Elephas maximus indicus: one gene and its partners. The protein of the gene in region 3 purifies or fractionates together with the protein of the main gene of each other region. This does not show direct contact. Links are inferred from orthologs where the notes say so. Each region holds a gene or a part of one and is shown on either strand. Other genes may lie near its edges.

Region 1 (7,493 bases), on a different chromosome or scaffold from region 3:
TGGTATCAGGATAATGCTGGCCTCATATAATGAGTTGGGAAGTGTTTGAATCATTCTTATCACCATTTAAACCTGTTCTAGCATCTCCCATCTTGACCCCAGGTCTCCCTCCAACCTCTGTCCCACATATCTGCTCCCTTTATAGCAAAATTTCTCCCCAGAGGTGTCTACACACTACAACTCCATCCTCACTCTCTCTAACCTGGCTGCTCCTCCAACCATTCCAATGAAATCTCTCTTGTAAAGGCCTCTGTGTTTTATATCTTATAAAGGCTACGGTTACTTCTCAGGACTCCGTCTTGCTCAATTTCTCAGAAGCACCTGGTACAAGTGACCTACCCTCCCGCCTTTTTCTCAACACTCAGATATTTTCTTGGTTTACTTTCTCTGTTTATCAATCAGCAGGATACATTTCCTTCTCTAAATTTTGCAATGTTCACAAGTGCTTGAATATGCAGATGACTCATCTGGGATCTCATTAAAGTGCCAATTCTGATTCAGCACATCTGGGCTGGGGCCAGAGACTCTGCACATCCAAAACGCTCCTGGATGAGGCTGATGTGCTGATCTGGGGACTACACTTTGTGTAATGAGACTGCAAAGAATTTCACATTGTGGATTTGTCTGCTTGCTTCCCTGCAGTGTCATTTCACTTGTTCCTCTCATCTTTGTATTTCCTATATACAGCCCTGGTGGTTCTCAAACTTTGTTCATATTGGAATCTTTTAGGGAGCTTTAAAAAACTCCTGTGCCCAGGAAAATGCAGAACAGTTTCAAATTCTCATGGACTCCAGACTTTCTGGAGCCCTGGAGGCTAGATGAACCCCTGAAACTAGTGCCCTGAGATAATCTTTGAACCTTAAACCAAAAATATACCCTGAAGTCTTCTTAAAACCAAACAGTAGTTTAGCTTAACTAGTAAACAATGTCTGCCTTGAGCATTGTGCTCTTTTAAGATCTATCTATATGGGGTCAAATTGACAACAGCAACTCAAAAGATTAGATAGGAGCCTTTGGGGGGGGGCAGTGAGTTGATGTTAATGCAGGAGGAACAACTCAGAAAGGAGGGTGAGAATGGTTATACAGTTTGAAGAATGTAATCAACGTCACTGAATGCAATCAACGTTATTGAATTGTACATGTAAAAACTGCAGAACTGGTGTTATGTTTTGCTATGTGTATTCTCAACAACAAAATAAATAAAATTAAAAAAACAAATTCTCATGCCCAGGCCACACCCCAAATAAACAAAATCAGAATATTTGGGTGTGGGGCCCAGGCACCAAATTTTTAAAGCATACCAATGACTCTAATATGCAGTTAGGATTAAGAACCGCTGCTCTAAATCCTTGCTATTCAAAGTGTGTTCCAGGGATTAGTAGCTTCAGCATAACCTGGGAGCTTATTAGAAATGCAAAATCTTGGCCCTAATCCACACCACCTGCTGAATCAGAATGTGTGTTTTAACAAGAGCTCCAGGCGTCTCCTGTGTGTATTAAAGTCTAATAAGTGTTGACCTATGCGCTAACAGCTCTGAAATGTTTATCTCCAACACCAGCCCAGAGCACCAGCCTCGATACCTAACTGCCGCTTTGATGTACACCCAGCCATCTCAAACTTAACTTGCTCCAAACTGGTATCGCTGCTTAAGCTTGTTCCTCCCCATCACAGGCAATGGCACCACCATTCCTAGTTACTCAGGCCACAAACCTAGGAGTCAGCTCTGAGCCCACCAAGTTCCTCACTCCCCCATTCAATCCATCAATTTGACTATTCCCAAATTGATTCCATATGCATGCATTTCTCTTCATTCACAGGCCATGACCCCAATCCATTGCCTCTCCCTAGGCACCTACTCAGCCTCTCCCACCTCTACCTTTACCTGCCTCCAGTCAGTTCTCGTCACTGTGGTCAGAGGAATTTTTTTTAAATGTAAGTTATTTTTAGTGCACTCTGCCTAAAATCAGGAATGGTCTAAAACCCAAAACGCTTTGCTGTGGAGTCGATTCCAAATCATAGCGCTCCTATAGGACAGAGCTTCCAAGGAGCAACCGGTGAATTTGAACTGCTGGCCTTTTGGTTAGCAGCCATAGCTCTTAACCACTAAGCCACCAGGGCTCCAATGTATATCACACGCTTAAAATAAAATCCCACAGGGTCTACTCTTCCAGCTACACTGTTTCTTAAACAAGCCAAGTTTTATTCGTCTCAGGATCTTTGCACTTGCTTTTCCCTCTGTTTGGAACGAACTTTCCCCAGACCTCCCCAGGGCTGTCTCTGGTCATTCAGATTTCCATTCAAATGAGACGCCTCCCTTGACCGCCCTGCCCACCATCTAAAAAGCCTCCATTACCAAGATTAATGCATTTTCAGCAATGATCAGTAGCTGAAATCATCTGTTTCATTTATTTCTGACTTGTTCAATGTCCCGTTCACCCAGAAAAGACGGGATTTTTGTCTGTCTTGTTCACTGCTGTGTACCCAGCACCTGGGGCAGTGTCTGGTAATGGCAGTTGCCCAACAACTATCAAATTGAAAGGAAATAAGATCTAAATTTCTACAAAACCTCTATAAACCTGAACCCCTTGAATGGGTGTACGTACAGCAGCGCTGCGGCTGGCTGCCAAGATTCTGCGTCTCAAGAACAACTGGCAGACACGGGTTCGAATTCTCGCCTGCTACGGACTTGCAGCGTGATCTCGAGCGAGGGCCTTAACCTCTTTGAGTCTCAGTTGTCTTATCTACAAAATGGGAAATAAAGTATGTGAGGCTGCGGGAGCGATTTCCTCTACGTCCCCGCCCCGCACTTCAAAAGGTCATGGCGCTGTAGGCCTGCAGATGGGTCCCTGTGGGGCCGCCCTTCCGCGTTCCCGGACCCGGAACGAGCCACCCCGGGGCCTAGGAGCTCTCCCTCCCCCTCCAACGCGTGACCTACCTCCTCATGAGGCCGGCCGCGGCCACCGGACCGGTTCTATCTTCCAGCTGGGCGCCGCCATATTGACCCGAAGAGCTTCCGGGTTACCGTCTCCTCTCCCCGAAAAAAAAAAAAAAAAAGCAGCAAATCGTGAAGACCAGTTTAGAGATGTTCCGCCTACCTTGGGAGGCCCACCAATAACGAGCCAGGCCCCGCCCTTAACAAGGCAAGCCGCACCCTCCACCTGGGAACCGTGAACTATGGCTGGGGAAGGAGTGATTGAGCCGGTCCCAGACTGGGAAGCTGGACTTCGGGGGACTGTGATCCCAGCCTAAGCCTCCGGTATTCCCTCCTGAGACGCAGAGTTGAATTATCAACTTATCAAAGTTGGAAGGGATGTGAATTCCTTCTTTCCCTCAACAAACATCCATTGAGAACTCACTGTGTGCCAGCCACAGTTCTAGGCCCTGAGCATACAGCAGCGAACAAAACTAGAGTGTCACAGCGCTGACACTAGTGGAAGAGACAGGCTCTGCTAATCTAGGTCCATGATTCTGGGCAAGTGCTTAACCCATATGTCCCTCCATTGTCTCACCTGTGAAATGGGGCAATTATAATAATCTGATAGGGTTGTTTGAGGTTTAATTGAATTAATCCCTGGAGAACAGCCATATAAATTGTTTTGTTATCATGGAGTCCGGTGGCAGTGTTAAGAGCTCAGGCTGCTAGCCAAAAGGTCAGCAGTTCAAATCCACCAGCCACTCCTTGGAAACCCTATGGGGCAGTTCTACTCTGTCATATAGGGTGGCTATGAGTAGGAATCGACTTGATGGCATACAACAACACCACTGTTATCATGCGGGATTCACCCTCAGCCTTCCTCTCCCACCCCACCCCCCCAACCCCCTCTTCACCCCACTGGGACGAAGGAGTCTGGTTTGACCCTTGGGCCACCCTCATTGAGGGCTGAGGGTCGTGTGGGGCTGTGTGTGTGTTCATGAATGTGTCCTGGAACTGTGGGAGGAGGAATGTCACTGCAATGTTGGAGTGGTAGTGTGTGTGTGTGTGGTGGGAGGGGGTTGTGCATTTTGTTGTATCTCCAAACTCAAGCAAAGGCGTGTAGGTGTATGTGCGGCTGTGTGAGTGTGGGTCAGGGGTGGTGCCCAGGCCAGTCTGGGCATTGGTGTGTGTGACAGCATGTCATAGTGAGTGTCTCATGGGTTCTTGTGTGTTTGTCAGTAGCTGCATGTGTGACTCTTAGTGTACTAGCTTCTGGGTGTCTGTGACTCTGTGCGTGTGGGAAGGGGGATTTGCCCCACAAGTCAAGGGGCTGGCAGTATGTGTGTCAATGTTTCTGTGATTGTTCCTGTGCCTTAATGTGTGTATGACTGCATGTCTGAACACCAGTGGATAAATGACTGTATTTGTCACACTGTATGTCTATGACTTATGCATACATGATTGTGTCCCATCATCGGAGTGCATGTGACTGTGTGTGATACCCCAGATCGGTCACTCTGGGTGTGATTGTATGTCTAATTACAAGTGAGTGAGTCTGTGATTCTGTGAGTGTGTGGCACACCATGTGTGTGATTTTGATTGTGTTTCAGCAATGGTGTAACAGGTCTGACCATGCCAAAGTCTCTGATGTTGTGGGACTCCATGTGTGGTTGTGTTCCAACCAGTGTGTGTTTGTTACTGTGTTTGTGACACTCTGTGTGTCCTTGACTTGTATGTGTGTGATTGTTCCTGGCCATTGACTTCTACGGCACTGTGTATGTCTGTGATGATCCTGGTTATAAGTGTGTCTCAGTGATTCTGTGACTGTGTCTAGCTATCTGCGTGTGGGCTGGTCTATGTTTGTGACAATAGTGTGTCTCTAGACTCCTTCTGTGTATGAGTGTATATCTGACCACAGTGTGGGGTTGTGACTGTGTTTGTAGCACTCCGTGTGTATCTCTCTGCCTGTGGTTATGTGTCTGATCCCCAGTACCTACCCAGGGCTGGCTGTATCCTGAATGTGTGACCCTGTGTGTGTGAGATTGTAAATATGGTGTGGGGACGGCACCTGATCTCTAGTTTCACAGGGGGAGAGGAGAATCAAGATCAACAGCCCAAGGCTGATTCCTGCGAGGCAGAGGTCAGACATGCCTCCTCTCTCTGGCATCTTTACCAATTCTGACACAACAGTCTCTCCCATAGCACTCTCTACTTCTCTGCTGCGTTCGATAATTCATTGCAATGGCCAGACAGAACTCACAGATAATAATCATGATTATGGGGTTTATTAGGGAAGTAACAGGCTCAGGAACACATAGGATACAGTTCTTCCATCAAGACAGTCTGTTCCCAGTCATGCCACTGCTTTTCTCTGCCTCTTCCCTGCTCAGGCAAGTGTCACAAAGCTCTTTTAGCTCTGCCCGAAGCGTCCCCAGGCACCCCACTCCACCAGTAAGCCTCAGCCAGAATACACTCAGCGCTAGCTCCATGGGTCGGCAAACATAACTCCACCAAGTGCTTGGAGGCATCCTATTCTGCCACCAAGCTTCCTGCCCAAAAGCACTCAGCTTTTTTGCTCCGTGTGCCGGGAAGCCCACTGTGCTGTCCCTGCCAGTCTCTCCTCTGCTCTTTCTCTGCTACCACTTCTCACCATCTTCAGTATTACAACTCTGACTGTCTCCTGGTTCCAGAAGTTTCTCAGTGCTGTAGGGATCCCTGGTCCAAAGGACACACTCTGCTCCTGGCTATTCTTCCTTGATGGTTGTGAATGAGATCCTGCCTTTGCCTGGAACTGGCTCTCTTTTAAGCCTAGTGGGATGGCAAAACTGACCACAATTACCTTATCTGTACAGTTCCAACCAAGTATTGGGTGGGAGTTACAAGACCATGGTGAGAAAGGCCACACAAAAGTGATCCCTCGCACCACAGAGACACAGTGCCTGGGTCCCTGGATGTGTGCCTCTGCTCCCCCGTGTGCACCAGGCAGATCCCCAGATTGTTGCCTTACCTTGGAGCATGGCGACATTGGAGGTGGTGCAGCTGGCATCTGCCTCTCTGGCTGTAGGAGCTGGGCAATCAGGAAGAGGAGGTGACTGGGGTGTGTACGTGGCCACATCCCTGCCCGTACCTGTGGCCCCCATGGTTCTGATTCCTGACTTCATTTTGATCAAATGAGCTCCAGGGCGCTCAGCCCACACCTGTTCCTCTTGCCCACAGAGCCTTGGACCCACACAGACACCTGAGTGGGAGTCCAGGTAGCTGGGTGGGGGGGGCTGGGGGGGCATGAATTAAGTAGAGGTGTGGCCAAACTTGCCCCTGACCATTAGCGCTCTGGCCTGTACAACTTGTTCTCTGTACAGGCCATCTGTATCAATCCCTGCTCTGTAAGAGTCAGCTGGGCCCCCATGGATAGACCCCTCTTCACCCCATTCCTACTCCCTGCTTCTGGGCAGGTGGAGAGCCGGCAGCACTGCTGGAGGGTGTCCAGGTGAGAAAGGGACCCCTCCAGGAAGTTTCCCAGAGTAAGGCTGGTCCCACTAAGGAGCCTCATGTGCCAACACACAGTTTCTCTCTACCCCAGCCAAGTGCAGAGCTGAGGGCCTTGACTCCTCCATGCCAGGCCACCAGCTGCACTGGCCAGATCAATCCAGGGTGAGGGTCAGTGGGTCCCTCGTTCCCCTCACCTATAGACTGTGGCTGATGTTTCTGGTTATCTGCTGTATGGTAGGCAGGTAAAATTTGGCTGGGTGGGACTGGGGGTCACACCCCATCCCCTTCCCACCTCTGACCACTGCCTCACCCTAGACCTGGTGCTGATTCTCTGCAACAGGGAGATCAGATGTTCCTGTGTTACTGTGCACCTTCTCTGGCTTCTACTGCTTCCTATAAAGACCCCTGAGACACCACAAGCTATCTCCCCACCACCCCGCCCATGTGTACTGTGTGCTAGGTTATGGAGTGCCAGTTTGAGAGTCTAGCAGATCTTGGCTGAGTCCCAGCCTTGCCCCTCATAATTGGTGTGTCCTTGGGGATGTGACTTTCTCTCACTGAGCCTCAGTCTTTGCCTCTGTAAAATGGGGATAATGAAAGCATCTCATAAGGCTGTTGTGAGGAGGAAATGAAACAATGCAAATAGGTTAGCACAGTGCCTGCTTATAGTAAGCACTTGTCATGGATTGAATTGTACCCCCCCAAAAAATATGTGTCAACTTGGCTAGGTCATGATTCCCAGTATTGTGTGATTGTCCACCATTTTGTCATCTGATGTGATTTTCCTATGTGTTGTAAATCCTACCTCTATGATGTTAATGAGATTAGAGGCAGTTATGTTAATGAGGCAGGACTCAATCTACAAGATTAGGTTGTGTTTTAACCCAATCTCTTTTGAGATATAAAAGACAGAAGGAGCAGAGAGACGGGTGGACCTCATACCACCAAGAAACTGGAGCCAGAAGCACAGCGTGGCCTTTAGACTCAGGGTTCCTGTGCTGAGAAGTTCCTAGTCCAGGGGAAAACTAATAACAAAGACTTTCCTCCATGTTGACAGAGAGAGAAAGCCTTCCCCTGGAGCTGGCACCCT
Region 2 (6,872 bases), on a different chromosome or scaffold from region 3:
GACAGACATTTTGGGGAACACAGTTCAATCCGTAACAAGCACTTAACCATTTGCACTTCCCAGGGGCTCCTTTGCATTTAGTAGGTTCTCAGTAGTTGTTTGTGGGCAATTATAGAATGGTTGATAACAGCTTCTAAGCTCATCCACGAGATAATCTCTTCTTCCACCGTGATAACAAAATGTGTCCCGTACTTAAACATAATCCCTGCTCTCCACGTATGTTCTCACAGCCCCTGCCGAGTTCCACTGACACTCCTTTGACTCTGTGCCATTTCATGAATTATGCTGGGAGGATACCGCTGTGAAGGCAACCGAGCCAACTTTGATTGAGCAGCCTACACAGAGAGTGCAGTTGAGAAAGTCACAGGCAGTAAAAAGGGCTTCATTTCCTTCTTGCTGGCTCTTTAGAAGTCACTCACTTCGAAGGCACTGTGGAAACGGGGGCAAGAAGAGCTGATGGTACCCTGGGTGATCGGCAACCAGCCTCACACATCTCCAGTGTTTATGTGAGGGTGCTGGGGCCTCATGGTATTTAGACCCCCAATGAGATGGAGCCTGAGTGTGTGTGTGTGTGTGTGGTTGGTGTGTGTTTCTCTCTCCTTTCTACTGTCAAGGCCAGCTAGCTGCTCTTCCACTGACCCTTTTCTGTCAGATTTAGGAGTTCAGCATCCCAGTTGAGAGTTAGGCTTATGGTTAGTGTTTGAACTTAAACTTACTTCCAATTGACATGCATTGCCAGGTCTTCACGTCTTATTCTGTTCTATAGTTCTCATTTAAGGGGCCCTGGTGGCGCAGTGGTTAAGAGCTCGGCTGCTAACCAAAAAGTCAGCAGTTTGAATCCTCCAGCTGTTCCTTGAAAACCCAATGGGACAGTTCTACTGTGTCCTATAGGGTCGCTGTGAGTCAGAATCAACTTGGCGGCAACAGGTTTGGTTTTGGTTTTGGTGGGGCAAGTTAAACGCTTGGCTGCTAACCGGAAGGTTAGTGGTTAGAACTAACCAGCGGCTCAGTGGGAGAAAAGATCCGGCCATTTGCTCCCATAAAGATTACAGCCTAGGAAACCCAATGAGACAGTTCTGCTTTGTCATATGGGGTCACTGTGAGTTGAAATAGACTCAATGGCCCCCAACAACACTTCCCCATTTACATTCCATGTACCCATGCTGTTTTTTCTATATTAAAAACATTTTTGAGTTCTAACTTATATACAGTATAGTATATAAATCTCAAGTATTCAGTTCAGTGAATTTTTACATTTGTGTAGACTGTACTAGCAGCACCCAGATCAGAATTTGGGTCATTTCCTTTTTACCCCTCCCTCACTGATAGTCAGTGATCCCAAGGGTGACCAACTGTTTGGACTTCTCTTTCCATAGATTGGTTTTGGCTCCTCTTGAACTTCATGAAAATGGAGTTGTAGAATATGTACTCCTTTGTGTTTGATTTCATTCATTTAATGTTATACTGTGATCCATCTATGTTGCTGAGTGTAGAATTCCATTGTATAATTTATTCACCATTCTCCTGGTTATGGGCATCCGGGTTTTCTCTAGTTTTTAGTTATTACTGATTATGCTACCAGGGATGTCCTCGTACATGTCTTTTGATGGACATAAGCACTCATTTCTGTTGGGTAGATACCGGGAGGAAACCCTGGAAGTGTAGTGGTTAAGTGCTACAGCTGCCAACTGAAAGGTCATCAGTTCAAATCCACCAGGCGCTCCTTGGAAACTATGGGGCAGTTCTACTCTGTCCTGTAGAGTCGCTATGAGTTGGAATTGACTCAACAGCAATGTGTGGGTTATATACCAGGAGTAGAATTGGTTAGTGATAGGGCATGCATATGTTTTCTTTTGGTGTTGTTGTAAGGTGCCCTCTAGTCATTTCCGACTCGTAGTGACCCTGTGTACAACAGAATGAAACACTGCCAGGTCCTCCAGCATCCTCACAGTCATTGTTATGCATAAGCCCATTGTTGCAGCCACTGTGTCAGCCTGTCTCATTGAGGGTGTTCCTCTTCTTCACTGACCCTCTACTTTACCAAGCATGATGTCCTTCTACATTTTCCCAAAGTAGCTGTACCAATTAACACTCCTTTAGTTCCTGTACTTTCAAAGTGCAATTTTCCTCTGTAACATTTTTATTCTAGGATGGCAGTGCTAGTTGATGTTGTATGTTGAAGTATCTGCCAGTCCATCGCAGATTACATACACACACACATTTGTATTTCACATTCATTCACTGTGTATCCGTAGGTGAATATTTGCCTTGTCTTACACTTGAGGGGAAACTCTGGTGGCATAGTGGTTAAGAGCTACTGCTGCTAACCAAAAAAAGGTCAGCAGTTCAAATCCACCAGGCACTCCTTGGAAACCCTATGGGGCAGTTCTACTCTGTCCTTTAGGGTCACAATGAGCTGGAATCGACTCAACGACAGTGGATTTGGTGGTTTTGGATTATGCTTGGGGAATGCTGAATATACCCTGGACTGCCAGGAGAACAAACAAATCTGTCTTGGAGGAAGTACAGCCAGGATATTCCTTAGAAGTGAGGATGGTGAGGCTTTGACTTGCTTACTTTGGACATGTTATCAGGCGGGATCAGTCCCTGGAGAAAGATACCATGCTTGGTAAAGTAGAGGGCCAGCGAAAAAAAGGAAGACCCTCAACCAAATGGATTGACATGGTGGCTGCAACAATGGGCTCAAACATACCCACTATTGTGATGACAGTGCAAGACCGGGTCATGTTTCATTCTTTTATATGTAGGGTCGCTGTGAGTCCAACCCAGCGCCACAGCACCTAACAACAACGTGCTTGGAGGTTCATAGTGAATAATTGCCCTTAGGAATTAAAAGGACATTGTCTGTAACTTTAAAAAAGCGAATATTAATCGGAATAAAGTTTGACTATTGAGTAGATGTCTGGTTTTGTGACTCAGGAGTGAGCATGAATGCCCAGTGTTTGCATGTGGTATGTAATTCATACTCGGACTGAAGCCGGAAGGCCGAATTGACTCAAGAAAGGTCCACTGGATCCGCCTTTGGCATCAGTCATTTGCAACAGGCTGAAATGCACATTATGGCTGCTATTTTCTCTCACTTATCTTTGATTTCTTTGAGAGGAAGCAGTAGCTCAATATATTAAACACTGATTAGCATCCTCTGTGCTGGGCATTTTAATTCTATCAAGTATATCTCAGCCTATGGCTGAAAAAGACTGGAAACCAGGGCCTCAGTTTCTTAGTTTATGTAACAGATGTAACCCACCTGCAGGGGCTGATGAACAGTATAATTAACAATTATGACCTCCATGTGAGAGAAAGAATCACCCAAGTAAGGCTGACTTAGAGCCAGCCTAGAGAAGCCTGGATCGCCTGGATATTCAAATAATAGTTCTCCCCTCTTTTGGATAAAGCTACATTTGTACTGCTGGTGCTGCTTATAAGGGAAGGTCAGGGATGCCTCTCAGCCAATGACATTGGAGCAGAGCCGTGAAGGGATTAAACCAAAAACCAAACCCGCTGCTGCCCAGTCAATTGCTACTCATAGTGACCCTATAGGACAGGGTAGAACTGCCCTGTAGGGTTTCCGAGGCTGTAAATCTTTACAGAAGCAGACTGCCACATCTTTCTTCCTCTGAGTGGCTGGTGGGTTTGAACCGCTGGCCTTTCAGTTAGCAGCCGAGTGCTTAACCACTGTACCACCTGGGCACCTCTGACTAGATTAAGCACCGTGGATACCTGGAAGAAGACTAACCAATGTGGAGGGGAGCATGCCTGGTGGGCAGAAGAGCAGTGAGGGGCCTCTTTGGCTGGAGGGGAGGGAGGCGGGGTCAGAGGAACAGCAAGAGCCCAACTTAGACAAGGCTCAGGAGGCCACCATCATGACCTCAGCTTTTTCCTAAGTGGGAATCCACAGCAGAAGCGTTTGCTCAGGGAAATGACATGAGTCAACTTTTTTTAAAGGATTGCTTTGAAGATTGGGTGGAGAGCTGATTGCAAAGACAGGGTGGAAACAGGGAAGCCAGTTAAGTTCTCTGATAGATGTACTCAAGCAAGAGCCAAGTGGCATAGATGTTTCATCACTGTGTTTTATTGGTAATAAAATTACAACCAGTAATTGTGTTCTTCGAGACTTAGACAATGTCTGGCACATCCCAGCCACCTTAGTAAGGTAATGATTAAAACCCCTTGCTCTCGAGTCAATTCCGACTCACAGTGACCCCATAGGGCAGAATAGAACTGCCCCATAGGGTTTCCAAGGAGCGGCTGGTGGATTCCAACTGCCGACTTTTTGGGTAGCAGCTGAGCTCTTAACTACTTCGCCACCAGGACTCTTTAGGTAATGATTTAGTAATCTGCAAATTAATATTATGGATATTAAGGAGCCCTGGTAGTGTAGCACAGTTCGACTCTGATACTCACGGGGTCACCATGAGTCAGAGTTGACCAGACAATAACTGGAGGGATTGTTTCAAGTGCCTGGCAGGTAGGAGGCACTTGGAAAACGTCGGTCCTTTTCCCTTTCTGTTCTTCCATGTCACTGCATCCTTGATCCACCTGCCGCATCCTGAAGCTCAGACCTCGTTATGCCATTCCTCTTGTCAAAAATCTACCTTGGCTCCCTATTGCCTCACAGACTAAATACAGGCACTTTTGCCTGGTGTTCAATGCTCCATTCCCTGACTCCGACTTCCATCTCCAACTTTTTCCCGTTACTTATTCTTCTCCATGTATTTGATGTGTTAGCCGATGTCATGGATTGAATTGTGTCCCCCAAAATATCTGTCAACTTGGCTAGGTCATGATTCCCAGTATTGCATGATTGCCCACCATTTTGTCATTTGATGTGATTTTCATATGTGTTTTAATCCTACCTCTACTCGATGGCAATGGGTTTTTTTTTATGATGTTAATGAGGTGGGATTAGTGGCAGTTATGTTAATGAGGCAGGACTCAAGATTAGGTTCTATCTTAAGCCAATCTCTTTTGAGGTATAAAAGAGAGAGGTGAGGAGAGAGACCTCGCCAAGAAAGAAGCACTGGGAGCATAGCGTGTCCTTTGGACTCGGGGTCCCTTTGCTGAGAAGCTCCTTGACCAGGGAAGATTAATGACAAAGACCTTCCCCCAGAACCAACAAAGAGAGAAAGACTTCCCCTGGAGCTGGAACCCTGAATGCAGACTTGTAGCCTCCTAGACTGTGAGAGAGTAAATTTCTCTTTGTTAAAGCCATCCACTTGTGGTATTTCTGTTATAGCAGCACTAGGTGACTAAGATGGCCAAATTCACTCCTTTGTATTTACTTCTGCTGCCACTTCTATATGAAATGCCATCTCTCACTTCAAAGCCTCTTTCAAGTGCCATTCACAAAGCTGTTAGTAATCTGCAAGGTCACCGTATTTGGAGTAGGCAGCATCGTGCCCAGAGAGCCCAAGTTCTCTGCCACTTTCTGGGAACGCTGCTTAACCTCTGTGTCTCAGCTTTCCTTGTAAAATGGGGGTAATGATAACACCTACCTCGTAGAGTTGTTGGGAGGATTAAATGAGATACTACTCACGAAGCACTTTGAATAGTAGTGCCTAGCACTTGGAAAGCTTAAATCAGTTTCTATAATTGTAGGCATGAATAACTGACATTATTTTACCATCAAAACCAAAGACCAAACCCATCGCTGTCGAGTCAATTCCAACTCATAGTGTCCCTATAGGACAGAGTAGAACCACCCCATAGGGTTTCTAAGGCTGGTGGATTCAAACTGCCGACCTTTTGGTTAGCAGCCAACCACTATGCCACCGGGGCTCCATTTTTTTTTTTTTTTTTTTTTACCATCAAGGGCATCAAATTAAAATTTGTTTGAGACACAGCAAAAAGAGATGTGGGCTAGGAACCAAGAGACCTGGACTCTAGTCCTGGTCCCCACTGCTAATCAGCCGTGTGATGGTGAATATGTCATTTTCCTCTCTGCATCTTATTTCCTTTAGCTGCAAAAACTGCTGGGGTTGGACAAAAGTCTCTAAGCTCTGTTTCAGTTCAAGGAGCCATATAGGTGTCTAAAAGCCACTCCAATGCAACACGACCAAACAGAAATCCTAATTTCCACTCCTAAGTGCTTGACTACTAGGCGAATGGTTGTCTGTTCCAACGCACCCAGAGATCCTTCAGGAGACACGCCTGGGGATCTGCTTCCGAAAGGTCACAGCTTCAAAAACCCTATGGAGCCGATCTACTCTGCACATATCCAGTCGCCATGAGTCAGAGTCAACTTGACGGCAACTGGGGGGGGGCCCAGGAAGAGGATTTTAGGACTGCACCCATATGCCATGAAGAGTTTTGTGGGCTTTACTTGATTTCCAGGAGTCCTTGGGTGCTGCAAATGGCTAAGTGCTCAACTACTAGCTAAAAAGGTTGGCAATTTGAACCCACCCAGAGGCTCTTTGGAAGACAGGTGTAGTGATCTGCTTCCGAAAGGTCACAGCCTTGAAAACCCTGGGGAGCACAGTTCTACTCTGCACACATTGGTGTGAGTCAGAATCAACTCAACAGAGCAAACAACAAATTGCTGCTTCCCTGGCTTTCCTCATCTCAGTAAATGGCACCACCGTATTCTCGGTTTAAGTAAACAATTTATGAGTTATTGTCTTAATCATCTAGTGTTGCTTTAACAGAAATACCACAAATGGATGGCTTTAATAAACAGAAGTTTATTCTCTCCCAGCTTAGCAGGCTAGAAGTCTGAATTCAGGGCGCTGGCTCTAGCAGAAGGCTTTTTCTTTCTGTTGGCTCTGGGGGAAGGTCCCTGTCATCAATCTTTCCCTGGTCTGGGAGCTTTTTAGCACAGGGACCCTGGATCCAAAGGATGCGCACGGATCCTG
Region 3 (7,265 bases):
TTGCCTAAGAAGTCCAGGAATTATTGAAGTTTTTAAAGATGTTCTAGAATTACTCTTAAGAGGGTTGTTCAGATCACTTGTATTTGTTTGACTTTTGCGGGGATATACACAAGTTATTCATTCTTCACTCTTCAATTGAATAAAATATGAAGTTCGTAGTCATAATTTTTCCAAAACAGCCTACAGGGTAACATGACTGCTAACAGCATAAGAAGAAAAACACAAACCAAGATTCGTATTGAAGTATTTTTCTCCTTAGACAAACTTTAAAGAAAAAAAAAAAGTGTAATTCATTCCTGGTGACTCATTGATAAGAATGGTGCAAAAGACAAAGAAAACTTGAATATCCAAGAAAACACATAGGGTGTGGGACTCAGAAATAGCACCTATCACATGCTAAGTAGTACTAAGAACTTTGTATTATCTCACTGAATTCTCATAACATCCTGGGAGTTATTTTATTTTATTTACTTTTTATTTCCATTTTATGCATAAAAATGGGCACAGAACAGAGCAGTTACTTGGCCCTACTTGCTTAGCATACAACTCATACCTTTTCCCCTCTCCCCAGTGCCACATCCATGTGTTCATGTGTCCATGTGTCTGACAGGTGCTATTACCCTTGCTGTTATCTTTATTAGGCTTACAACAAATGTAGACATGTCTCCCTACTCCCTCCCTGCCCCCAAATCTGGTGATAGTGGGTTAAACAGGGATTTTTAAAAAATATATATATATGAACAAAATGGGGTTTCCATTTTGATTGGATAAATCAGTGAAATTTTACTTAAAATAAGAATTTAAAAAGTTCTTGTTCCCTCCCCTAGTCCATAAAGAGCACATCTCCAGGGCACTTGCCCACAGTCCAGGTTCTTGCACAAACCCAGGGAACATCAAGCTGAGAAATGATCACTGGTACACTCCTGGTAAATTCTCTTGATTCACCAGGGGGAAACACAATGCCTCAAAGCATATTTATTATATATCAAAATAGTACTTGTAAAAGTTGTCAATGGAATGTGTAAAAAAATCTAATAAATATGTCCGATAAATCATGAAAAGAAAAAAGTTCTTGTGTTTTTTTGGTCCATATGATGTGAGATATTTAGTTTGATTAATATACAAAACAGCAACTGAATGGAACAGTGTTTGGGTTCTCAAAGTCGAAGTTGGGGGGGAACCTATCAGAAATGTAAAAATCATCTAGATTTTTTGGATTTGATTTAGGTTTTTTGTATTTGGGACATATACTCTGAGATTTTGATCCTTTCTCCTTACTCCCAAATATATATAGGGGCTCACTAGGTTTTTCTTCACGATGGAAGACAGATTTCTCAAAAGGCATTTTCCTTTAAAAATTTAGCCACCAAAAAAAAATTTTAAGGGAAATATCCGATTGAAAAAAAAAATCTATGAAATGTCAATGTCTATGGAAAATACCATCCTCAGTCCCAATTCAAGGGGGATCCCAAACTCTGCTCTCTTTTCCCTGTGGGTACTGATTGAAAACCACCCAATACTACAATATATTTGGGTTATGCTCTTCTCATTTTATATACACAGCCCCTAATCCCAGGATCCCACTCTGAGGATAAGAAACAAGGGTGGGTTTTCAGAACAGGCTGATTAACGGGCTGGTCCTCCCAGCTCAGTTCCAGAAGAGCTTGGACTTGAGGTGGAATCCCGCCACCTCACCATCTATCCCCAGCCCTCTTCAATCCAGTACCGCTTGTAGGACAACCCCTAAAGCTGACAGATGGCCAGGCGGTTGCTTTTTTTGAAACTGCTCTTTTCTAAGGATGTGCTAGATTAAAAGAAACAGGCAAATTGCATATCTAAGATGCACAACCAGCTACTGATTATAAAAAAAAAAAAAAAGAAGAGCTGAAATCTGCAGAGCTTGGTTGAAGGTGAATTACCAGAATGTTTACAGTGTGCACACACGTGCACACAGAAAGTACACACACATGTTTGCAGATCATGCTGGGTAAGAAGGCAGCAGAGGAACTCCCCCAAAGGAACAAAAACTGGGGGGTGTTTACACAAAGCTCAGCTCACCCTCACCTTAAGCCTTAATTTAGGATTCCCACAAAACCCATTTCCAGCAAGTGCTGAAAGTCAGCTGTGTTCTTGCTGCTCTGTCACCTAAGCACAGACTTCCAGTTAACTAATCAAACCATCAACACTACACAGCCAGGTAGTAAGCTCCTTCTATTTTGCTAATTGCGCTGTTGGCATGCACCAAGTTATTAAACAAACAGTTGGCAACACAGAGAGCTTAGGTAAACGTATGTGGCAGCATCTACTGAAATGTTTTCTCTTGACGCTAGTTCCAATGACTTGTTTGCATGTTAAGTGGAACAAGGGAAATTGGAAAAACATTTCTCAATTATTTTCCAATCAGCTGTATCAGCTTGGAGATCACCTTTTCAACATGACCCTGCCTCTCAGAAAGACTTCCTGTTTGCTAGTAGAAGACAAGCTGATTTTCGAAGCAGATCTAAGTCTGTCAGATACCAGCTTTTGCCAGGAACAGCAGTCATCTAGTAGCTACAGAAAGCCGTGTCAGCAGAGCCTGTGGCAAGTCATACACCAGCCCAGTTTTTCCCACCCACCCAGATACTCTCCCTCTCTGGTCTGTACCTTCCGTGTGGCAGCTGGAAGAGAGGATGGTGTTCGGAGGTCTGAAGATGTAAGGCAGGTAACGAGAGAAGCATTTCATCTTCCCCAAAAAATAAAAAATAAAAACCTACATAAAAAACCAGTCTCCTGAATCCATAAGGATTCCCTGGGCCTTTAAAGCTGGCTACATCACCAATATGTTTCTGTAGGCTCTCTTCCAGATCTGCAGAGTGGGGAAGCCCGAGGAATCACTGGAGATGGGTCCCATTTTGCCATCAGCGCCAGGAAGCACTGCCTTACATTTCTGCATGCAGCTCAAACTCAGAAGCCCCAAGCAAGCCGGGATATAGCTTCTTCATTGGCTGCAGCTCCTCCGAGCAGGATTTGCTGAGTAAGTCAGTCCTGCCTGTAAACACACGCTGAAATGCCCTGCCTGAAACCTCTACCTTTTCCCTGTGGTCAGTTTCTCTTTTAGCAACAGAAATCCAGCAGGATATGGGAGTCGTGGGGATAAGTGACCATCTCTTATTTAGCTGAAAGATCAGATGAAACAAAGACAGCATAGTGTACCGCCCTGGAGAGAGATAGCTGTTCAAAGGAGCCACCCTTAAGACCTCAGATCTCAGGACTATTAAAGTACAGTGCAATGAAATGGGTCTCTGTCCCCGCTTAATCTAGATTTAGTGCGATTTTTTTTTAATACCAAAACCCAAACAATAGGACCATTTATCACTTAGGTGAAGCCCAAAGCTGGGCTGAGTAGTCAGTGACAGAGAGCTAACACAGACAGTCTGTGCTCCAACACGGCTTTTTTTTCTTTCTTTCCTGCCAGCACTCACATTAAAGCAGTAACTTAGTTCCGAGTTATCCGCTGTACAAATACAAAACCACAACACAAAAATATAGACTAAACCTGAGGAAGCCAACCCTTCACCAACTCATGCACCCTGAGGGCATACGAAAACATGGAAAAAGTAAGTTGATCCAAAGATTATACCAACTTTACCAAAATTCTCACTGAAGTTTCAACCGAGAGAGAGACGGAACTTTATATACACAGCCCCTAATCCCAGGCTCCTACTTTGAGGATAAGAAACAAGGGTGGGTTTTCAGAACAGGGTGGTCCCCAGCTCAATTCCAGAAGAGCTTGGATCTGAGGTGGAGTCCCAGAAGTTGAGGTTGCTAAAGGACATGGCCAATCACCAAATATAAGTACTTTGATGTGCAGGGTGATGGTTTGGTTTTGGCCCATGAAATAATACTGACTTTGAAAAACTTATCACTAGAAGACAAGCACATTGTGTCAGTTTGGAATTTATAAGATCTGTCAAAGACACTATTGTGTTTGACAAAGAGAAAGAGATGAGTATCCTTTTTGATGCATTCTGAGACAAAAGGAAACAATTTAATAGTCTGGAGAAGAAAACCAATATTCCCCTGAGTGGGATTTTAAAAAACAAGGTTTATGAAAATATGTTAGGATATTTTTTTAAGCCTTTATGGGCTCGCCTCTTTGCAAAAATATTTAACTTTCCATTGGAGGATGTGATAGTCTGTCCAGAAAAGAGAAGTCTTGGAGCCATAAAGCAGTTACAGTACCAGTACATGCTATGATAATGTAAATTGCTGGCTTCACCGATATGCCACCTTTCTGGTTTTTGGACCATTGTAACATGAAGACATGGGCGGAGCCACACCATTTAGTCCTGAGATAATCATTTAACACATCACCCTCCTTAGATCCAGGGACCCGGCAAGGTAAGGCCATCCAATGTAAGGTACTGTTTAACCAACACGTAAATGGTCAGCTTTGGTTGTGTGGGTATCTCAGACTTACCACAGAAGAATGTATCCTTAGGTATCTTCCTGAGAAATGTTTTACATACAGCAGCAGGCAGAGTAGAGGTATATTGGCTTTGGGGCCAATCTGACCCAAGTTTGAATTACAGTGAGTTCATTTACTGATTGGGGAGACATGAAATATAACACCTGTGAGCATCAGTTTCTGCATCTACAAAATGGTAACAATAATAATGTTTTCCCTGTACATTTCTGAAAGAAATAAGTGAGAGAATAAGCATTAAAAAAAAGCATAAAGCACCTGGCATATTGTATGTGCTTGGTAAACTACCAATGTTGCTGTTATTGCTGGCATTCTCTGATCTTCTGCAGCCATGTGTCAACTCAAGAGCAGCCAAAGAGTGGTTAGACAGCAAGTTTACTTCTGCCTTTGATATTGACTTACTGTGTGACCTTGGGAAACTCAACATCCCTAAGCCTCATTACATATATAGTAAGGATGATAATAGAATCTTGTGATTTTGTGAAGGCAAAATGAGTAGTTCATATAAAGGATTTAGCACAGTGCCTAGCACATGGCAAGTGCTTCATAAGTTTTATTATTATCTATAACAATAATTTTTTTTTTATAACAATAATGGAGCCCTGGTGTCATAGTGGTTAAGAACTTGACTGCTAACCAAAAGTTCAGTAGTTAGAATCTACCAACCACTCCCTAGAAACCCTTTGGGACAGTTCTACTCTTTCCTATAGGGTTGCTAGGAGTCAGAATCGACTTGATAGCAACAGTTTTTTTTTTTTTTTTAATAACAGTAAAATTAGCTCTTAATCATAGTATTTTACAGCATTTATTTACCTAGCTTGTCTAAACAATAAAATTGTAAACTTTCTGAGGGAGAGATCAATATCTAATTCATTTTTGTATCCCCAGTGCTTAGCCCAGTGGCTGGGACAGAGCAGGTACTCAATAAATGTTTGTGGAATGAGTGAGTGAAAGAATGAATGGGGAGGGTGGAGCCAACATGGCACCCTAGATAGACATGCCATGCCATCCCTCTGCAGCAAAGACTTGAAAAACTAAGTAAAACAGATATGAAAGTCAATCCTGGAACTCTGGAACAAAACGATAAAGAACTGGATCAAATACTGAATGGAAGAAGAAACTGATAGAAAACAGAGAACAAGGAGAGATAGGGAGTAGAGGTCCCCTGCCAACTAATACGGTACAGCATCACCATCTTGAAGCACAGCCAGCAACTCCTCCAGACAGGGAGTATGAGAAGGCAACTTCATGGAGCTCCCAGCCGGAAACAGAGCACCCAGTAACCAGGAAAACATGCTTACCCACCCCTTACCTTCTGGTGAATTGAAGCAAGAACCCCCCCTCCCAGAAGCCCCCACCACTGGGATCCATCATATGAGCCCCACCTACTCCTAGCCTCGGCCTGCCCCACCCCCTCTGGCTGCACAGTTTTTTCTTCTTTCTTCTTTTTCTTTCTGCCTCTCATCTAGTCTGGTAAGTCACCTCCCCTCCCTTCCCACTGGCTCCCCCGAGTCCACCCCACCCCCACCCAACTGCTTCCACTGCACTGCCATTTTTTCCCCTTTCTCCCTCTCACCTAGCCCTGTATGCCATCCACTCCCCTTCCCGCTGGCCCCCACTGAGCTGCCATGGCTAGAGAGCTACTAGCCCACAGCCACCCTGGTTCTGCCCAGCCGCCACCTGCCAGCTCCTGCCACACTGCCTTTTTTCCCCTTCTCTTCTGTGCTTTCTTTCTTTCTCCCACCTATCCCCATGCATTACCACCCCTCCCTTCCCACTGGCCTCGGGGGTCACCCCATCCCCACTCCCGGCCCCCACTGTGTCTGTCACCATTTAAAAAATATTTTTTCTTTTCTCTTTTTCCTTTCTCCCTCCCACCTAGTCTCATACGTCACCTCTCCTCTCTTCCCACTGGCCCCTGGGTCCACCTTGACCCCGCTGTGACACCATTTATTTTTAATTTTTTTTCTCCTTTCCACCTAGCCCCGTATGTCACATACCCTCCCTTCCCACTGGCCCCCGGGTCCACCCTGCCTCCACTCGCCGGCCCCCACCATGCGACCATTAAAAAAAAAATGATTATTTTCTCTTTCTTTTCTTTCTCCCCCCTACCTAGCCCCATACGTCAACTCCATCCCCTTCCCGTCAGCCCCTGCCATTCTGCCACAGCTAGAGAGCCACTGGCCAGTTGCTGGCTCAGGTCTACCCCACCCTCACTCTCTGGCATCCAACTTGCTGCCATCTTTTTCCTTTTTTTCTTTCCTCCACCCACCTAGCCTCATAGGATAACCTCCCTCCCTTCCTGCCAGCCCCCGCCATGCTGCTGTGGCTAGAGAGCCACTGGCCATCCACCTGCCACTACCCTGAGTCTGCCTCACCCCCACCCGCTGGCTCTCACCATGCTACCATTTTTTTTCTTCCTCCATCAGACCTAGCCCCGCATGTCACCTCTACTCCCTTCCTACTGGCCTCCGGTTCCACTCCGTTCCCACTTACTAAGCCCCACCATGCCACCATTCTTATTTATTTTTTTCTCATTTTTCCTTTTCTTTCTCCTTCCCACCTAGCCTCATATGCCATATTTCCCCCTTTTCTGCTGGCCCCTGTTGCACTGCCACAAGTAGAGCATCTCCAGTGCTCAGACCTGCCACCACCCCAGGCCGGAATAATCCCTCCCCTCCTGCCACTTGACCAGCTACTGAATGGTAGGAAGTGAGCCCATACCACTCCTACTCTGACACCCCCACTCGCCTGGCAAAGGGCTGCAAATGCTCCCATACCACTGGACCAACATGAGGAG
Region 4 (7,565 bases), on a different chromosome or scaffold from region 3:
AACACTAATGACCAAAGACCGTACGATTGTGGAATGACATCAAGAATGTCATACATTAAGTGAGAGGTCATTAAAAAGACCGGAGAGAAAGAAAAGGAGGTGACGTGATCAGGAACCGATGGTACCAAAGGAAGAAGTCCAAGCTGCACTGAAGGCATTGGCAAAAAACAATGATCTGGGAATTGATGGAATACCAACTGAGATGTTTCCACAATTGGATGCAGCACTGGAAGTGCTCACTCGTCTACGCCAAGAAATGTGGAAGACAGCTACCTGCCCAGCCAACTGGAAGAGATCCATATTTATGCCTGTCCCCAAGAAATGTGATCCAACTGAATGCGGAAATTATCAAACAATATCATTAATATCACATGCAAACAAAATTTTGCTGAAGGTCATTCAAAAACGGTTGCAGCAGTATATCCAACAGGGAACTGCCAGAAGTTCAAGCCAGATTCAGAAGAGGATATGAAAGGAGGGATATCGTTGCTGATGTCAGATAAATCTTGGCTGAAAGTAGAGAATACCAGAAAGATGTTTACCTGTGTTTTATTGTCTATGCAAAGGCATTTGACTATGTGGATCATAAATTATGGATAAGACTGCAAAGCATGGGAATTCCAGAACACTTCATTGTGCTCATCCAGAATATGTAAATAGACCAAGAGGCAGTTGTTCAAACAGAACAAGGGGATACTGCATGGTTTCAGTCAGGATAGGTGTGCATCAGTGTTGTGTCCTTTCACCATACTTATTCAGTCTATGCCGAGCAAATAATCTGCGAATCTGGACTGTATGAAGAAAAACGAGGCATCAGGATTGGAGGAAGACTCATTAACAGCCTGAGATACACACGCCACAACCTTGTTGCTGAAATGGAAGAGAACTTGAAGTACTTACTGATGAAGATCAAAGACTACAGCCTTCAGTGTGGATTGCATCTCAACATAAAACAAAATTCTCACAGCTAGACGAAAAATTCTCACACCTCAACATAAAACAAAAGTTCTCACAGCTGGACCACTTACCAACATCATGATAAAGGGAGAAAAGATTGAAGTTGTCAAGGATTTCATTTTACTTGAATCCACAATCAACGCCCATGGGCACAGCAGTCAAGAAATCAAACAGCCCATTGCATTGGGCAGATCTGCTGCAAAAGGTCTCTTTAAATTATTAAGCAGCAAAGGTAGCACTTTGAGAACTAAGGAGCTCCTGACCCAAGCCATAGTATTTCCAGTCGCCTCATATGCATGCAAAAGCTGGACAATGACTAAGGAAGACCAAAGAAGAATTGATGCCTTTGAATTATGATGTTGCCAAAGAATATTCAGTACACCATGGTTGGCCAGAAGAACAAACAAATCTGTCTTGGAAGAAGTAAGGCCAGAATGCTCCTTAGAAGTGAAGGTGGTGAGACTTCGGGCATGTTGTCAGGAGAAGGACATCATGCTTGGTAAAGGAGAGGGTCAGCGAAAAAGAGGAAGACCCTCAACGATATGGGACACAGTGGCTGCAGCAATGGGTTCAAACATAGCAATGATTGTGAGGATGCATGGGACTGGGCAGGGTTTCGTTCTTTTGTACACAGGGTTGCTTGGAGTCGGAACTGACTTGATGGCACTTAACTTACATGATAAATTCGAAAAGGTCTTTTTGGACCACATTTTGGGCAGAAGGCTGGGACTAGGGGCAAGAACTATGCTCTTTTTAGTAATAATGATTTGTAGCTTTTAATTTCAAAGAAAGAATTTCAAATTTGATTTTTTTTATTCCATCATCATTGAAGGAGATCTTTATGTACATTCCCTATATCAATTTCAATATCATAATTCAAATCCCAATTGTCAAATGGTTTTTGAACTCTAAAACTGTTTTCAATCTTTTGAGGATTATGGATATGTAAAAGGATCTTTTTAGACCAATACAATATATAATCTTAATGTAGTGTGTAAGTCTCTGGATATATCACAAGATATAAATGATTCATGTTTCAAATTTTTTAATGGTATAATTTTTAAAAAAGCCTAGTAAATTGTATAAGAACGAGATCAAACATGTGATTTTTAAGGCTGAACTCGTTTAAAAATTCTTTGATCCAAAGGGGGAAATAAACAGAATAAACGCGAGAACACTTGTAGTAAGGAAAGAAATTTGTAACCAGACTACAAACCCAGGGTTAAATGCATCTTTGCATGACAAGCAAGGATTGGAAATTGATGGCTCCGTTTCACAGGAGAAAATAACCAATATGCAAACAAACATGAAGATGGCGCGGGGCTCCGCAGAGTTGTGTTCTGTTGTGCATAGGGACATTGTGAGTTGGAGCCCACTTTGCAGCAGCTAACAACAAGTTGACACACACGTACATACATACGTAAACCAAAGAGCAAAAAAAGCTTTAGGATCATAGTTTTTGTTTTCAATTAGGATGCTAGAAATAAGACTTTCTTGACAACCGAAATACCAAAAATTGATACTGCATACTCTTGCCAGATCTACCAACGTCCAGCTTTCCCTAGTCTGTTTCAGACTGCAGAGACCATAAAACAAAGCATGGGAGTGGAAGTCTGGGTTTTAATCCTTCCTCCAGCAGTTACTCTGTGAATTGAACAAGTTTTCAAGGCTGTATTTCTCACATCTGCAAAACGGAGGGTAATAATAGCACCTGCCTCAGGGTTGTCGAAAGAAGGAAACGAAAATATGTAAAGCAGCGTGTAGGAAGCGTTCCAAAAAGTATTTGCTCTACAGCACTACTAGACAAAACTTTCGGAAGCACTGCTTTCACCAGGTCACCTCCCCACGCCAACTTAGCAACACGCTTTCACAGTGATTCCACACACATTTGCGTCTTTCAAGGACCTCACTTCCTAACCACCATAATTCTCATTTCTCCTCAAGATGTGTTTTCTCAGTCCATCTTTGGAAACTCTGAAAATACCATAATCGTTCTTTCATTCTAAGCCTTTGAGGTTTAGCTGGTATCCAGCCTCCTTCAAATCTTTATACTGGAGCCCTGGTGGTGCAGTGGTTAAGCTTTTGGCTGCTAACCAAAAGGTCAGCGGTTCGAACCCACCAGCCACTCCCCGGTTCCATAAAGATTCACAGCCTTGGAGACCCTATGTGGCAGTGCTACTCTGTCCTGTAGGTTTGCTCTAAATTGGAATTAATGGCAATGGGTTTGGGTTTTTCAAGTCTTTATAGACTAATCTCGAAGATTGCATATCAAATATATACTGGCACGCTTTCTATTCAGTGGTAGTGTCATCATTTCATGTTTTGTTCAGTTGGTTTGCCACTATTGACAAGTAGCTTGAGAGCTTGAGCTGTACCGGCCTTATTTCCCACCATGTGACCTGTTTAGTTGCTGGAAGTATTTATAGCTTTCCACACAGACAGTGGCTTTTCACACATTTGTCCTCAGGCACAAAAAATTCTTTTGAACTACTTTTCTCCGGGTAACCTCAAAATTTTGCCTGGGGGGAAGGCTTACAATTCGGTTTCAATGCCACCTTCCCAAAGCTTTCTGCAGCGGTTTCCTAGGAGGGATAAAGCAGCTGATGTGTTGGTCCCATGCTGTCGTAGTGGACAAGCTGAAAGGAAGGCCTTTGAACACGTGAGGAATCCGAGGCTGGGAGAGGTTTGGTGATTGCCCAAGGAAGCAGCTACGAAGTTGGCAAAGCCAAGGTTGGAATCCTTGCTGCCTTGTACGGAACGATGCCATCCACTTGGGTTCAGCTGCAGTCGTACGTATGTGTCTCTAATAGAGACAGTGTGGTCTTTTAACATCAGCTCTACACAGTATCTGGCAGTTAGCAGCTATTTGGTAAATAGATGTTGAACAAACAAATCATTAGAACTCCGTGAACGTTGGACTAAAGGTAAAGAATGCTGGAGCTGGAAGGGGCACAGACTGACATGATTCAGAACAATCGTCTCGCCTATGTGATGCTGAAAGGATCCGAGATGTTAGGACCCACAGCTAGTGGCTGAGGCAAGACTAAAACCAAAAAAATACCCAGTGCCATTGAGGCGTTAAGACTCATAGTGACCCTACAGGACAGAACTGCCCCATAGAGTTTCCAAGGAGCACGTGGCGGATTCGAACTGCCGACCCTTTGGTTAGCAGCCATAGCTCTTAACCACTATACCACCAGGGTTACCAAGAGACAAGACTACAAGTAATTTATTCACTAGATAAATATTTACCGAATGCCTACTGTGGGGGAGTGTCTGACTCTGGACAGACAATATTGTCCAGAAAAAGCCCCAGCTTCCCAATTCCCTGTTCAAAGCACTGGAAAGCAGTGCAGGAGCCTAAGGTAAAAGTGCTGAGAAAACAGGAAGTGAAGGAAGAACCAGGAAGGCGGGATTGGGGGGTAGAAGAGAAAAGAGGGAGCTGTTTGGCCCTCTTGGGCCGTTTCTCCGCCGAGCCACGTGAGGGCGCTGCTCCGCTCCTCGTGTCGCCCGACTGCGCCTCCGCCTGCTCTTTTTTCCGCCGGAAGTGCCGGGGCAATGACGGAAAGCCGGAGGGAGGGGAGAGAAAGAGCGAAAGAGAAGGGCCGAGAGAGCCGGGAGAGGCCGGCGGGCTGGAGGCGGCGGTAGCGGGCGGCCATCGTCCGGCAGGAGCTGCGCCGAGGGCCCGCGCCGCGCTCCGCCTAGCTCCCCGCGCCCTTCGCCGACTCCGGGGGCGCGCGGCCGGGCGGGAAGGGCGGACAGGGGTCTCCCCGAGGCCGTGCGCCCGGAGCCGCCTGCTGGGCTTGGGCGGGGCGCGCGGCCCGCGGCCGCCCTGCCGGTCTCCGTCCTCTCCCGCCGGGAGCTGGCGGCGGCGGGAGAGGGGAGCGGCGCCCGGGGCGGGGGGCGGGCAGCGGCGGGGACGGGGATCGTGGCGCCATGGACGACAAGGCGTTGACCAAGGAGCTGGACCAGTGGGTCGAGCAGCTGAACGAGTGTAAACAGCTCAACGAGAACCAAGTGCGGACCCTGTGCGAGAAGGTGAGAGAGGAGAGGGGAACGGGGAGCGCTGGGCGGCGGCGGCGGCGACCCCTCCCGGGCCTGCGGGTTCCGTGGCCGGCCCAGCCTGCCGAGGGGTCCCGCCGGCCTGCGCCCCTTGTTCCGAGGGCCAGCCCGGAGGCCGGGCCAGACCTTTCCAGGGCTGCGGCCTTGAGCTGCCCTCGCCAGGTTGCTCTGCCTCCTGGGGTGGGTGGGGGGGACGAACGGGGCACCCCGAATCCACGCCCCAAGTTTAATTGGGGTCGCCTGCAGTTGTGGGGTCTTCACGTCACTCCTGCATTTCACGTGTGGATTAGCGATAGCGGCGTATTCAAATACCGGGAAATTAGTCTAAGGCAGTCCCTTGACTTGAAAATGCACCCAAAATTAATATTGTTGATATTAATAAACTTGCTTTAAAACGTAGAATTTCCTCAGGTGAGCGGGAGCCTTTCAAAAATCGCTAACTTGGATGCGTCTAGTGTTTGTAGAGAAGGGGGTGTAATGGCAAAACCGGGTTTTAAAACAGTGGTTGAGTTCGGGTTCCACAGATGGTAACTGGTTTTCAGGTTGAGTGGCTCTTGGAAGTTAAATGTGGATTTTCAGCAACGACAGCCAGGCTTACGTTTGGGAACAGTGCTTGCTTAGAATGGTAAATAGGATATGTGTTTTTCGTACTGTATTGCGCTTTTCAAAAAGTCGTTTCCATTTTAATTGTAACTTTTTTTTCTTTTCCAACGTACTCGTATGGTTAACTGTATATGATCTTTCCTGATTGTGTCATTTTAGCTTTCGGAATTCTGTATCCATTGTTGTCATAACTACTGAAGTTACTTCGGTTTCTCCATTGTATTTTAAATCCAAGGATTTTCTCATCCATCTCTTATAGACTAAGTAGTTTAATTTTCACATATTTTCTCGTTAAAAGGCTCCATTTGAAGTCCATGAAAGTGTAACAAAATTACTTATGCTTTATTACTTTTTTCAAAATCTTTTTAAAGCTGTAATGTATGAAACTTTTGATCATAATGTTTTAAAGTCATCATGCCCCAAAAATGTACTGGAGAAGGAAATATCTTGTCAGTCTTATTAATCGGGTGCTCCTAAAATTATACAGCTTACTTTGGGGTGAAGAAGTAATGATTAGTACTAAGTTAAAATAGTATTTTTAAATGAGGTTTAGTGTTCTTTTTAACAAATATGATGTTGCCTAGGGTCTTTACATAACTATTTGTTAAAACAATTCATTTCTGTAAGTAAAACTGCCATGTAAATAGTTTACTTGTAGCTTCAAATAGACATTCAATTTGCTTGTGTGCTAACCTGTAATTTAGTGAGTCTTAAAATTTGCGTTTTAGATAATACTCTCTCAAACTCTAGTGTCAAGTTAAACACCCAGTTTTGAAATCAGCTGAATCAGTTAACCTCCTATGAACATCGTATGTATATATTCTTGAATTTATGGACAAACTTGATAGTTGAGTCAGTTTTTCTGACAAAATTTTAAGATTTATTTCTATAGAAGAAAATTGTGCCTCTACTTGGAAATAATCATACTTGAGTCTTAACATTCTTATGAGGAAGCTTTCTGTATTTATCAAGAGGTACTATTTTTATTTCAGCTTCTAAATATACTGGGCCTCCAGTTCCTAAGGCCTTATTGGTATATTTAAAGTTACGTCGTGTACTTTTTTTTTTAATCCCATTTTATCTTTTTATCCTAAGCTTATATCTTGTACTTTTTCTTTGAATATTTTTACTTATTCACAAAAGATGAATTTTTTGAATGATCCCCAACCGCTTTGTCTTCCACCATTTTGATGGAATTGACACACAGTCTGGCCATGAATTGGAATCGACTTGATGGCAAAGGATTTCTTGTATATTTGTTTTCCCCCATTGGATGGAGATGTGGAATAGAATCCCTTTTTCTGCTTTTTTGAACAATACATAGTTTCGTATTCTTCTAGCAACTGTGGTGTACCTTTATGGTATATGTGTTCCTACCAAAGAAAAATCAAACCCGTTGCCATCGAGTAATTTCCGACTCATAGCAACCCTATAGTACAGAGTAGAACTGTCCCATAGGGTTTCCAGGGAGCGGCTGGTGGATTCACACTGCTGACCTTTTGGTGAGCAGCTGACCTCTTAACCACTGTACCACAAGGGCTCCAATTGTAGCTATAAAATCCAGAAAAATACAGTCTCAGTGAGTATGTCTAGTGGTTCCTGTTATCGAAAGTGCAAAATACTGGGGTAGGATTGTGTGAAGTAGCTTTACTCCTAACTTGACCTACTTAGTACTTACTGTACCCTTCCAGATCGAGAATGGCAGATACATAGGAAAAATAAAAGAAAAATAAAAAGTCAAACCTAATTATAAATCACCTTTTTTTTTTTTTTAATTTTTTGCACCCTGCTGGAGATAAAACTATAGAAAGTTATGTTTTAAGGGATTTTCACCAGTATGGTGGTGGTTTTTCTATTAAATTTAATTTCTGTTCTAACTCAGATTACCTGAGAACCGAAGGAGTTGGCTGAAACCAAGACAAAGTAGCACTAGGAACATCCCT

What was found.
Region 1: the proteins of PPP2R2B (region 3) and ECSIT purify together in Homo sapiens (affinity purification with mass spectrometry; 3 studies listed by BioGRID and IntAct, with this or other methods). This does not show direct contact. The link is inferred for Elephas maximus indicus from reciprocal best matches to the Homo sapiens genes PPP2R2B and ECSIT.
Region 2: the proteins of PPP2R2B (region 3) and PABIR1 purify together in Homo sapiens (affinity purification with mass spectrometry; 4 studies listed by BioGRID and IntAct, with this or other methods). This does not show direct contact. The link is inferred for Elephas maximus indicus from reciprocal best matches to the Homo sapiens genes PPP2R2B and PABIR1.
Region 4: the proteins of PPP2R2B (region 3) and PPP2CB purify together in Homo sapiens (affinity purification with mass spectrometry; 5 studies listed by BioGRID and IntAct, with this or other methods). This does not show direct contact. The link is inferred for Elephas maximus indicus from reciprocal best matches to the Homo sapiens genes PPP2R2B and PPP2CB.

Annotation. Positions count from the first base shown.
Region 1 is NC_064821.1:29,503,996-29,511,488, forward strand, and holds the start of ECSIT (evolutionarily conserved signaling intermediate in Toll pathway, mitochondrial), read right to left. Parts: upstream 3,024-7,493; 5' UTR 2,936-3,023; intron 2,742-2,935; 5' UTR 2,604-2,741; intron 1-2,603.
Region 2 is NC_064827.1:10,663,458-10,670,329, forward strand, and holds the start of PABIR1 (PPP2R1A-PPP2R2A-interacting phosphatase regulator 1), read left to right. Parts: upstream 1-3,865; 5' UTR 3,866-6,872. UniProt on the Homo sapiens protein: Acts as an inhibitor of serine/threonine-protein phosphatase 2A (PP2A) activity. Inhibits PP2A activity by blocking the substrate binding site on PPP2R2A and the active site of PPP2CA.
Region 3 is NC_064820.1:161,175,180-161,182,444, forward strand, and holds the start of PPP2R2B (serine/threonine-protein phosphatase 2A 55 kDa regulatory subunit B beta isoform), read right to left. Parts: upstream 3,017-7,265; 5' UTR 2,723-3,016; coding exon 2,644-2,722; intron 1-2,643. UniProt on the Homo sapiens protein: The B regulatory subunit might modulate substrate selectivity and catalytic activity, and might also direct the localization of the catalytic enzyme to a particular subcellular compartment.
Region 4 is NC_064840.1:69,435,671-69,443,235, forward strand, and holds the start of PPP2CB (serine/threonine-protein phosphatase 2A catalytic subunit beta isoform), read left to right. Parts: upstream 1-4,541; 5' UTR 4,542-4,893; coding exon 4,894-4,995; intron 4,996-7,565.